Danio rerio: one gene and its partner. The protein of the gene in region 1 purifies or fractionates together with the protein of each later gene. This does not show direct contact. Links are inferred from orthologs where the notes say so. Each region holds a gene or a part of one and is shown in the gene's direction. Other genes may lie near its edges. The genes, in order: ube4b and ubl7a.

Region 1 (6,376 bases):
GTACACCTTTGAGTTAAGACAATCATCATTTCTAATTAGAGGTTAGGGCATTAATATAAATGTACCCGACTACTGGACTCTATAGTAACTTTGGTTTTCACCAAGCCCATGGTTTCCCATATGAACTTAATTTAGAATAATATTACCTTCAAACAAAGGTCGGGTACCCAATCTAGGTTAGTCGTGCAACACCTTGTTGACCTAGACGGAAGTTATCGCCCTTTCCACCCAAGTACACAAGAATCAATATCAAGAGTCAGCCGGATCCCTAAAACACAATTAGTGTGCCCAATGCTCCATCTCAATTGGATTTTAGTCCGTCTACTGACCTGACGCAAGACGTGCGGAAACAAGGATACAGCGTAATCTACTTGAATTAATAATTACAGAGTGAGCAAAATATGGTCAAACATTACAATTTATTAGTCAGGTAAATGTATTATGCCAATTCAATCAGTCAATTCATAAATGATCAATACAAAACATCAAATTATCAAAGATAAATCCAAGATGAAAAGATGCATACCTGACCTTTTACATAACGTGTAAATTTTACATAACATGGAGCCTAGCCTAGGCTCCATGTTATGGGCTGATCTGGGTAGGCAGAATCGCGCTGAGTTTTTCTCAAACCTTGCCTTAAATAATCCAAGAATTCCCTCAAGGAAGGGGGTGTGTGTAAAAAGTCACACCCTTTACAGTGGTTCAAAAGATGCCTGAAGTTATATATTTATTGTGTTGATTATATCTATTTCTGAGAGAATGAGACCATTGTACCAATCGCACTAAGACATTTCAAATGATATCAAACATGATGGTTAAAGTCAGTTTGGTTAATTCTAGAACATTCAAACATTGAAATGACCATATGCGTGAGTTGGGGGGATGAAGCTGAGTTTTCAGCATACTCAGATGCAAATGCAGCAGGAACTGTTTTTTCACGCATTCCCCCCTGGTGGGTTGTGGAGTCCATTGGCCCTGTCTTCAGCTCATGTTTTGAATTGTCAAAGACATCAAAAATATTTGTAGTAAAACAATTCTTACAGGCTTAATCTTTGAAAGTTTATTACGCAGTCTGTTTTATATTTCATTGTTCTGACTATTTTGTGCTTGTGCATCACAAGCAGCTTTCCAGTTAATCATTCATTCATTCATTTTCGCCTTAGTCCATTTATTAATCAGAAGTCGCCACAGTGGAATGAATCGCCAATTTACCCCGCATATGTTTTACCCAGTGCATGCCCTTCCAGCTGCAACCCATTACTGGGAAACACCCATACACTAATTCACACACACTAGGGACAATTAAGCTTACCTAATTTACCCACAGCACATGTCTTTAGACTTGTGTTGGAAACCAAAGCACCTGGAAGAAACCCACGCAAACACGGGGAGAACATGCAAACTCCACATAGAAATGCCAACTGACCCATCCGAGGCCCGAACATGCGACCTTCTTGCCGTGAGGCAACATCGCTACCCACTGCTCCATCGCACCGCCCCCAATTATAATCAATATTTCTATTTCAAATAAAACGCTATTGTTTAGAAATGCACATTTACCAAAACCCCTAAAATAAACTGTTACGGTTTCCACCAAATACTAAGCAGCGTAACTTTAAAATAGAAAGAAATGTTTCTTGAATATGAAACTAGAATATTAGAATGATTTCTGAAAGATCATATGACACTAAACAATGCGGTAATGGCTGTTTCAACACTAGAATAAATTAAAATTGTAAATATATTTAAATAGAGAAGCATCATTGCAAAAATATTTCACTAATTATTGTATATTTAAATATTCTTGTATAAATGTATCCTTCATGAGTGTAAACAACCTCTTTTGTATTAAAAATCCTCACTGGTTGGGTGGTAGTGTATGCCATTTAAAATGATCTGTAACTATTGAAGATTAGAAGAATAGACAAGAAGCTTGTTTACTTTAGATAAATGCAGTTTCATCCTGATAATGGTCAGCATTGTTATTCTTTCAGATCTTCGTTCCCATTCTTCAAGGGCTTGCTTTAGCTGTAAAAGAATGTTCTTTTGACAGTGACAACTTCAAGTTCCCTCTGATGGTAAGAATCTGCTTGTTGTTCTTTTAAAGGCCTAATATAGACAACATTATCACCACAAAAACTCTTAATGTATATGCCACTACAGTTAGATTTATCTGATATTTAGCACATTTTATACCCTAAAAAAATCTACTCTAAATTTGTCACAGACCTCAGATTCTTATTTAATGTCCATGAACAATATGATGTTATTTTCCAGGCTTTGGCCGAGCTCTGTGAAATCAAGTTCGGGAAGACTCACCCTGTATGCAATTTGGTAGGTTTTTTTCCATAGATTAAGAACTGAAGTCAGTCAGGTTATGTGGTTCACTGGTAATATTGCCTGTCTACGTGTATTTTTAGATCACCTCTCTGCCGTTGTGGTGTCCTGACCCTCTCAGTCCCGGGACAGGAAGAGAAATTCAAAGACTCTCCTTCCTCGGAGCGTTCTTCAGCCTTTCTGTGTTCGCTGAAGATGACGTAAGTCGTTTTTCTCCTTAAACAAATACGACTTGATGCAAAGCCACAGCTCCGATGAAGGATGATGGGAGGAAAGTACCTTATTTAGCTGTCTGTCTGATGTTCTGTAGACTAAAGTGGGAGACAAGTACTTCTCAGGCCCTGCCATCACTATGGAGAACACGCGTGTGGTCAGCCAGTCTCTGCAGCACTATCTGGAGTCTGCCAGGGTGAGCCTTCATATCACATACTCCTCCTAGATTATTAATGAGCTGCTCCAATATTAGAAGTGTATTCTTTTTATAGAGCAGGGGTGCATGACTCTTTGTCCGCTTTTGGGTTTTGGTGATTTAGGTTTTCAACCAGACCTTTGTGTTGTTTTAGTCAATCTTTGTTGTAGTATAAATGCATTGCAATATTTTTACTTTTAAAGAAAGAAAAAATGGACATTTTTAATATACTAAATCAGATAGTGAGTCTTTTTCTAAAATAAGAGTTAGTTTAGCCAAAAATTAAATTCAAGTTTATTTTTTTAATTTAATTGAAGCGCTTTTCACAATAATTATTGTTTCAAGAACCTTTACAAAAATACTTTTTTTTTACTGTTAAAAAATAAAATTATTACTAATCACTTACTCTCTTCCTAATCCTGTGAGACTTTCACTCTCAGATTTGAACCAGAATATCCTAATTTGTGTTCCAATGATAAACGAAAGTCTCATAGGTTTGGAACAACTGGCCATTAAATTTAAACTTCTAATTCAATATATTTCCTATATGTTAAAATCCAAATTAAATATCAGCATATTTGTAAAACAAAAAACATTTGGTAATTGTATTTGTGCTGTGCTGGTGGTGTTTTTCCAGGGAGATCTGTTTAAAATCCTGCACAACATCTTGCTGAATGGAGAGACAAGGGAAGCAGCTCTGAGCTACATGGCAGCTCTTGTGAATCGTAATGTGAAGAAGGCTCAGATGCAGGTAAATCTGTTCCAGTGGGGTTCTTTCTAAATGCCATCTTACCAAGGTATTCTTGATGACCGTCTGTGCTTGAATGTGGAAAAAAAAACGGGTATCGCTACCCTCTTTTGATACGTGACCAAAATAATTGTTTGCTTGTAATAAGTTGGAAAAAAATCAACGGAGAAAAAAATTTTTCAACACATTTCTAAACATAATAGTTTTAATAACACAGTTCTAATAACTGGTTTATTTTATCTTTTCCATGATGGCAGTAAATAATATTTGACTAGATATTTTTCAAGACACCTCTATACAGCTTAAAGTGACATTAACTAAATGGCTTAACTAGGTTAATTAGGGTAACTAGGCAGGTTAGGGTAATTAGTTTACAAAACAAACCATCATTATACAATAAATTGCCTATCGAAAAAAATGGCTCAAAGGGGCTATTAATTTTTACCTTAAAATGGTGTTTAAAAAATTAAAAACAGCTTTTATTCTAGCCGAAATAAAACAAATAAGACTTTCCCCAGCAGAAAAAATATTATCAGACATACTGTGAAAAATTCCTTGCTCTGTTAAACATCATTTGAGAAATATTTAAAAAAGGATAAAAATCAAAGGGGGTTTAATAATTTTAACTTCAACTGTAATTATAAATATATTTTATTTATGCTTTTTTCATTATTAATTTAATTTCATAAAATAATCTTACTGTTTTTTTTTATCATAATTATTTATTTGCTTATATAATGATTGATTTACTATTTTTCCCTTATAGGAAGCAGTGGGTTGTGGGTAGGGAAGTGTTTATTTTAAAGTTAATGTGGTAATTAGCTGATATCATGTAATATGCAGAAAATTCAATTAAAAAACAAACAAACAATAGATTAGATCTCTTAATGGATCTAGGTCTTGCGATTTAATGAGAGCACATGATGCAATTCTATTTCTCTTTTCTTTTTTTAGACCGATGATAAGTTGGTGTCCACAGACGGCTTCATGATGAACTTCCTGTGGGTCCTGCAGCAGCTCAGTATGAAGATCAAGCTGGAAACAGTGGATCCTCTCTATATCTTCCACCCCAAATGTCGGCTGAATGTCAGCCCGGAAGAGACGCGGCTCAAAGCCACTATGGAGGAACTAAAGAGCTGGCTCACTGAGCTGCGTGAGTGTGGGCTCTGTTCTGGAACAAATAAATGACTTTAGATGCTTAGTTTGACTTCAGGCAGCCGGTTTATTGTTCCTCTAATTTTCCCACAGATGAAGACCCAACCAAGTTTTCAGAGCCCAAGTTCCCAACGGAGTGCTTTTTCTTAACGCTTCACGCACATCATCTGTCCATCCTCCCATGCTGTCGGCGCTACATAAGGAGACTGAGGGCCATCAGGGATCTGAACAGGTGCTTCACACAGATTCACTCATAAAAACAACCAAACAACATTTGCTAACTTAACCATATATGGTTATAATCAATTAAAGTGTTGTCATTGTACCAAATGGCAGTAAAATATCAGTCTTTGCAGTACAAATGTTCTCCCTTTGCAAGATCTCCATGCTTTTATTCAATTCAAGTTCATTTTTATAGTGCTTTTTTTTACAATAATTAATGTTTTAAAGCAGCTTCACAAAGTGCACATTATTGCAAGTCCTCCAGTTGACATCATCATAGTATATTTTATTCAACTGTTTAAAACTGTAAATATTAACGTTAGCATATAACAGTTGCAGGTCGAGTATGGAGCAGTCATTCATTTTGTCCTTCGGGAAATTGAATCTTAATAGTTGCTAGAAAATGGAGGATGTGTAAATCATGGAAACTTTAATTTTGGGTGAACTATACCTTTATAGATGGACCCTTTGTGATTTTCAAGGTTGTGAATTGACTACATGCATTTTACATGAGCCACTTGTTCAAATGAATACGTTTTTGAAATGTGGAATTTGTACACAAAAACTGTATTCATGATTGTACAGACCGTTCCACTAATCATAGATTTGCAGCAAGAAAACCACAACAAGAAACTTTAAGAACTCCACTTTCATGAAGCACTGCAGTTTAATTAAAGGCACAATATATAATTTTAACCTGTAGAGGGCGCATATTTATGACAAACAAAGGCGTAGTTTGATGATGCAGTGACTGAGTGTGAAATCATTATATCCAATGGTGCTCATGCAAAAACATGTTTATGGATGAGCAAAAATATTTGACACCTTATTCTCGTGGTAGTATGAAGTTAGAGTAAGCCTGAAAGCTGTAAAAGTGAAATGAGAGCGTTGAAGTAATTGCTAAAAAGAGATGAGCGTGACATGGCACAAAAGCAACAGAGCTTTTATTATACCATAGTGGACTGCTTCAGATTCTTTCTCTAATGGTCACATTGAGAAAAAGCAGCGCTGTTTTATCATACTAAATACATTTTAAGCTTCCGTTTTAACGCTGCTCTGTACAGTCTAATATAACACAACATATGAAAGAAGCATCTTTAATATTGTTTTCAATAAAACAAATCTAACCAGAAATTGAGGGCATGTGATGTCATAAGTATGGCGACACAGGAGGACACAGGTCCTATCACTAGTTAAACTGCTTATTTCTCTGAATTTGAATATTCTTTTAAAAATTTGGGATAATGCAAGCGCATTAGTCAGGAAAATATATAACACTGTTCTGTTTTAAATTTATATTAATAATATTAATAATAATATATATAATAATATTATATATATATATGAGCCATTCCAGCGTTATGGATGTAACATTTGCAGTAAAAACTCAAAACATAAATTCACATAGAAAGTATATGTTAATATTATATTTAAACATCTGTTTATATTTTCCAGAACAAGTTGCCACAGAGTTATGGGACCAGAAAAATATCAATATGTAA
Region 2 (6,919 bases), on another chromosome or scaffold:
CTATGTCCAGCTTAAACCAGGCTGGTCAAAGCTGGATTTGGCTGGTCATTTTCCAGCCTGACCAGCTAAAACCAGCCTGGAAATGGCCAAAGCCCCTCTAAAACCAGACTGGTCAACCAGCTAAAACCAGCCAACCAGCCTAGGCTGGTTTAAGCTAGATTTTTCAGCAGGGAGCACATCACCAAATGCTCAAAGTCTTAATAAGCTATTTATTTTTAAGCACAACCATTTTTAAGTTAATATGGACTACAAAATACCTGAGATATTTATTGAAAATGTGCTTATTCGTTATAGGCCTGATGATTGTAAAAATGTTACCATAAACATTCATTTCTTGGTAAATAAACTAAAGTTTGAAGACCTAATAATTAGCCCTCCCATGAAATATTGTTTACATTTTAAAATATTTCACAGTATTTGATGTAAAATATAATTAATTTCACCGTATTTCATATTAAAAAAATTCTACTGTAGAAAATCTTATTTCTTTTAGTTTGCCAGTAATAAAAGAAGTTTTTAATTTAAAAAATTAGATTCTTTTATGGTCAATATTATATGACGCCTAATTTTTTTTTTTCAATTGACTTGCCAAATAACCTAAATTGCCTAGGTAACTTAGGTAACCAACAAAGGCTCATTCTGAAAATGTAGCCCTATATACATTTCTGGAGATCACGAATTATGTAGCCAGAGCTACGTATGGCTGCATTTCGTCTTTAAAATGAACGCTACAGTGCAGTATGACGCCGTTCCTGTACTCGCTTATCAGCTGACCACTTACCTCCGTATGGACAATTTTTCTGCTGTTACCAGTTTGTCTGGTAGTTCCTATGTCGTCGGATTTGACACACAGAGCGAAGTTGACTGCGACAATGGGGTTTGAATCTGCCGAAGAACAGTTCCAGAAAGCTGGCAAGACAAAAACAAAAGATAAAAAAATAAAATAAACAAGTAAATAACAGGGTGAAAATGTGGTAAAATCTGAAAAAGTGGTAAAAATCAGGTGAGGGCTTTTCTTTTTCTGGATTGCTTTTCTAAATACTGCAGTTGGGTTTAAAGAAGGAGGAGGGTCGGTCCGTCGGTCAATCAGTGCACGAATGGCACTCGCGAGAGAAAATTGAGATCTCAAAAAGCGTACACAACTGCCTCTGGTGGGTTTGCAAAAACAAAAACTGCCAAAAAATAGTTGAAAACATCTCTCCATTAAACAGCACATGGGAAATATTGGAAAAAATAATCATTTAATTTATGCTAACAGCTAGTAAAGTTCAGGTTTACTTCTTAAACTATTATTATTAACAGGCAACAACAAAGTGAGAAAAAATTGAAGATGTGAAAACATTTAAATACTTAATCATTTTTAAATAATTCCTATCTTTATTTAATGGTTCTTAATAAATAAGGTTGTGTGTAGTTTTAAGTAGCAGATTACAACTTACATTACATTACATTACATTTTTAAGTAATCAAACATTTCCATTAATTTACTCAGTTTACTGAATCAAGTAGCTTTGACAAAAGATACAACATTTGGATTGCTAGCATATATCTAGATGTTATTTTAGGCTTACCTATGCTAATGGGCTAAAACAGATGGAAAACAAAATGTCTTCTTTTTTTTCTTTTTCTTTTTTTTGTCAGTGAAATTAGACAGCAATGTTTAACTGTCAAGAGTAGCAATCCTATGGGTAATTTGTGACTACCAACAATAATCTTACCTTGTATAGCAATCGTTACTTTTTGTAAAGTTTGCATTCTGAAATTGACATGATATATTCACTGTAGGCCGTCGAGGCCAATATTTCGCTATTGAAAAAAAGCTTTTACTTTGAATTAAAAATGATTGTGAATAAGTTTGTAAGTATCATATGTATCTGTAGCGACATTAATGTTTTTAGATTAGGACATTATTCTTAAAAACCAAACAAATCAACCCAAACACTTTAAACACTTGTAGCCATAACGTTAGATATTCTTCTTGAAGTTACATAATTCAACCTGGCTCTGTGTATTAAAACTGTGCTAATACAAACGGTTATAAATGTGCTTTCTATTAAAAAAACTAGAGGGTTAAACTTTACAAAGTCCTTTTGGATAATCACTTACCAAGTGATAGTCACGGAGCAACTTCCTTTGAGATGAGTAGAAATGCTAATTGCTATTGCAAATGTTTGTCTCTGTATTCCCTCAAAGACTGTAACACACTGTGGTATTATGTTAAGCAAGAAAACAAAAATAAAATTGCTAAAAAAAAAACGCTTCAAAGAAAATAGTATTTATTTATTTGCATAGATCCGCCATGATCCGTGGGTAATTTCAGGTTTTGCTCATGAGTTGGGTAAAACAATGCTTATTAATAATTTAGATTAACAACTATATATATATATATATATATATATATATATATATATATATATATATATATATATATATATATATATATATATATATATATATATATATATATATATATATATTTTTTTTTTTATTTATTTATTTATTTTTTTTTTTTAAACATTTGGTCTATTTGTTGCGTTTAGGACACTTACATATAACCCTAATTTTTTTTCACAAAAAACAAAAACACCTATTATCCTGGCCAAATGTAAACGTATTAAGAAATAAAATGTTCTAAATGGCAATATTTTATTTTAATGAAATTTGAAAGAAATATTCTCATATCTTTGTAATAAAACATATAAATATATTTTATTCATACACTGTAAAAGATTGTATTCAAACCTACACATTATTTGTGTTTTCTCTGTTCATAATTGAGCACTACAGCCTGCGAACACATCAGGAAAACTACAACTCCCACAAACTCGACAGTTCTTCGGTGACGCCATGACGCACGGATGAGAACAGTCGCGTGATTCTGTTTATTTTAATCCATTGTGTTTTCAAGACCGAAACACATTTTAATCCTTTCTTTTGCCTTGCCAAAAGAAGCACGCGCTCCCCGTGCAGCTGCAAACCGCGCGTCAGATGATGGCGTTCTCGGAGTGGCGTCTGTCTTTAAAGCTGGTGGATCAACCTTCACTACCCAAGTCATTACTGCAGTTTCCAGAAGCTGAGCCTGGAGATGTTCCTCCCGGAGAGTATCGGGTCTCCACTCTCAAACAGCTGGTCTCTGCACAGATCCCTGATGCCATACCAGATCCCGAGCTTATAGGTAACATCACAGTAATATTAGATGACATTATTGCAGGGCTTATGGATCATTCATAATGTCTGGTGACACTACGTTATATTAAATAACTGTTCAGTTTCGCCTAATTACACTTTTATCTTAAAGAAGCATACATAATTCCGTTTACTGTTTGTGACGAATATTAATTTCATTGATAAAAGTCATCATTTATTGATTTTAAACAGCATCTTCTCATTCACTGGTGAATGTGAAAAATAGTATCAGGTTATTTGATCTATTTATTTTGAACAAAAAATCTAACAATTCTTTAAACAAAATACATTTCATTATTCATTCATGCATTTTCCTTGGCCTTAGTCACTTTTTTATTCATGGGTGGCCACAGCGGAATGAACCGCCAACTTATCCAGCTTATGTTTTACACAGCAGATGCCCTTTCAGTTGCAACCCAGTACTGGGAAACACATTTCATCATGATCAACAAAATATTTACTTATCTATATTGTTGTGTATAGATGCTATGCTAACCGGGGTTGTTCCAAATGCAGATTTATTAGGAGAATGGTCATCTTGTGAGCAGGGCCGGCGCATCCATAGAGGCGACCTAGGCGGCCGCCTAGGGCAGCAGAATAGAGGGCGGCGTCCCCGAAACTACCCTCGCCACCAGCACCCTCAGTTATATCCGCGTCTAGGGCTGCAGAATAGAGAGCGGCATCCCCAAAACTACCCTCGCCACCTGCGCCCTCAGTTATATCCGTGTCTAGGGCGGCAGAATAGAGAGAGCGGCGTCTGGACACTACCCGCACCACCCGCGCCCTCAGTTATATCCGCATCTAGGGCTGCAGAATAGAGAGCGGCATCCCCAAAACTACCCTCGCCACCCGCGCCCTCAGTTATATCCGCATCTAGGGCTGCAGAATAGAGAGCGGCATCCCCAAAACTACCCTCGCCACCCGCGCCCTCAGTTATATCCGTGTCTAGGGCGGCAGAATAGAGAGAGCGGCGTCTGGACACTACCCGCACCACCCGCGCCCTCAGTTATATCCGTGTCTAGGGCGGCAGAATAGAGAGAGCGGCGTCTGGACACTACCCGCACCACCCGCGCCCTCAGTTATATCCGCATCTAGGGCTGCAGAATAGAGAGCGGCATCCCCAAAACTACCCTCGCCACCCGCGCCCTCAGTTATATCCGCATCTAGGGCTGCAGAATAGAGAGCGGCATCCCCAAAACTACCCTCGCCACCCGCGCCCTCAGTTATATCCGTGTCTAGGGCGGCAGAATAGAGAGAGCGGCGTCTGGACACTACCCGCACCACCCGCGCCCTCAGTTATATCCGCATCTAGGGCTGCAGAATAGAGAGAGCGGCGTCTGGACACTACCCGCACCACCCGCGCCCTCAGTTATATCTGCATCTAGGGCTGCAGAATAGAGAGCGGCATCCCCAAAACTACCCTCGCCACCTGCGCCCTCAGTTATATCCGTGTCTAGGGCGGCAGAATAGAGAGAGCGGCGTCTGGACACTACCCGCACCACTCACGGCCTCAGTTATATCCACGTCTAGTGTGGCAGAATAGAAAGAGCGGCGTCCCCGACACTACCCTCAGCACCCGTGCCCTTTGTTATATCTGCGTCTAGGGCGGCAGAATAGAGAGGGCACCCACTCTTCCACCCCTGTTTATGGTTGAGGGCGGCATGACCGTCCTTTGCCTAGAGCGGCACTTCAGCTTGCTCCGGCCCTGCTTGTGAGCTGGCTGTGTGGTGGTGGAATGAGCAGCAAGCCCCGTTGCCAGCGGGTCTTGCTGTCCTTTGAGGGGTCTCCTCCACCTTGCCAACAGTGAAGGGGGGCCCACTTTATTGTAATGCCAGTTCAATGTATATTTCTAATGTCCAGTGGGGCTGGTGTAATGGCATGATTGAATAAAGGGGCTCAGAAAGTCCTCCACGAAAGAAAATCATCAGGCATAATTCATCCAAAGATGTTAAATGGGCTACCTGGATGGAGTCCTCCACATCTTCCTCTATAGACCGGGCCTCCTGACGCAGACACATGATCTTAAAACCCTCTGGATCCATGTTTTGGCTGAGTATTGTTTAGCTGTTGCTGTTCATACATAAGCGTTTCTCTTAGTTTCCTGTGTATTTGACCTTAGACTGTTTATCGTGTTTTGACCCTTTGCTGCCTGCCCTGAACCTTTTTGCCTGTTTTTGGATCTGCAGTGTCTCCTACACTGTTTATGCTGGTATTTGACCCCTGCCTGATTGACCATAACTGGTAATAAAGCTCCATTTGGAACTACCCCGGTCTGCACAGCATCCTTATGCAACACATATACACTTACAATAACAAAAGTGTTTAGCCGTTTCGAAATGCAAGCTAATGCATTTACTGTATCTCTTTTTATGAATAATGAAGAAAAATGCTTTGATATTTCATATCTAAGATTTCGGAAGGTAAACTATGTTTAAGGTCACATTTGAACATAAAGTTTCATTAGTTAATATAACTTTGTTTATTTACTAATAATGAACAAAACAGTCAGAATTATTAGCCCCTTCTGAATTATTAGCCCTTCTGTTTATTTTTTCCCCAATTTATATTTAACAAAGAAGATTTTTCAACACATTTCTAAACATAATAGTTTTAATAACTCATCTCTAAAAATTGATTTATTTTATCTTTGCCATGATGACAGCAAATAATATTTGACTAGATATTCTTCAAGACATTTCTGTACAGCTTAAAGTGACATTTAAAAGTTTAATTAGGTTAACTAGGCGGGTTATGGTAATTAGCCAAGTTATTGTATAATGATGTTTTTTTTAATATTTTATATTAATTTATATATATATATATATATATATATATATATATATATATATATATATATATATATATATATATATATATATATATATATATATATGAGCAATTCCGTGCAAATGTCAACCTTGCCATGAAAAAAAATTAAGTTTTTACCAAAATACAGAAACCATTTCTGGGTTGTTTGTGTAGGCAAGTATTTTACAGTACTTTAAAAATACTCAAAAAGCATCTGTTAATGTTTTCAAACTATTACTATTTGATTTACCAAAGTCACACAAATGGTAATTTCACATGCGTCACATCCATAACAGAGAGATGTCACATCCATAACAACACTTTTTCATCAGAAATGTGAAAATATTAAATAAAATAAAATCAATAATTTTTGTTTTATAGAGAGCCGACTCAAATCCTTTTGATTAGCATTATTTCTTTTGGGTTGTGCAGTTTAATTCACATAATTTCTACAAAGTGTGTTGTATACTGTAAACTCGCAGACTTTTTTTGTCACATCCATAACGCATGCTTATTTTCCACATTTAAAGTACAAAACACGTTTACAGATTGATATTTTTCTGCTCCCATAACTCTGTGGCTAGTTGCTCTAGAAAATATAATCAAATTTGTCAATATAATGTTAACATATACTTTCTCTGTCAATCTATGTGTTGAGTTTTTACTGCAAATGTCACATCCATAACGCTGGAATTGCTCATATATATATATATATATATATATATATATATATATATATATATATATATATATATATATATATATATATATATATTTATATTATTTTATATATATTTTTTAAAAATAAAATTTTAACAGTACGAAGAAATATACATGCCAGGGGGTAAGCATAAATCAAATACAAATATACATATGTAATAATCAAATAAATACAATGTAGAGTTCACAAAGTTTTAAAGTGCAT

Evidence for each region.
Region 2: the proteins of ube4b (region 1) and ubl7a purify together in Homo sapiens (affinity purification with mass spectrometry; 3 studies listed by BioGRID and IntAct, counting the BioPlex papers as one, with this or other methods). This does not show direct contact. The link is inferred for Danio rerio from reciprocal best matches to the Homo sapiens genes UBE4B and UBL7.

Annotation. Positions count from the first base shown.
Region 1 is NC_133198.1:32,462,031-32,468,406, reverse strand, and holds part of ube4b (ubiquitin conjugation factor E4 B), read left to right. Parts: intron 1-1,997; coding exon 1,998-2,081; intron 2,082-2,280; coding exon 2,281-2,337; intron 2,338-2,423; coding exon 2,424-2,540; intron 2,541-2,650; coding exon 2,651-2,749; intron 2,750-3,386; coding exon 3,387-3,500; intron 3,501-4,451; coding exon 4,452-4,650; intron 4,651-4,745; coding exon 4,746-4,884; intron 4,885-6,376. UniProt on the Homo sapiens protein: Ubiquitin-protein ligase that probably functions as an E3 ligase in conjunction with specific E1 and E2 ligases. May also function as an E4 ligase mediating the assembly of polyubiquitin chains on substrates ubiquitinated by another E3 ubiquitin ligase.
Region 2 is NC_133200.1:34,179,520-34,186,438, reverse strand, and holds the start of ubl7a (ubiquitin-like protein 7a), read left to right. Parts: upstream 1-2,847; 5' UTR 2,848-2,991; coding exon 2,992-3,175; intron 3,176-6,919.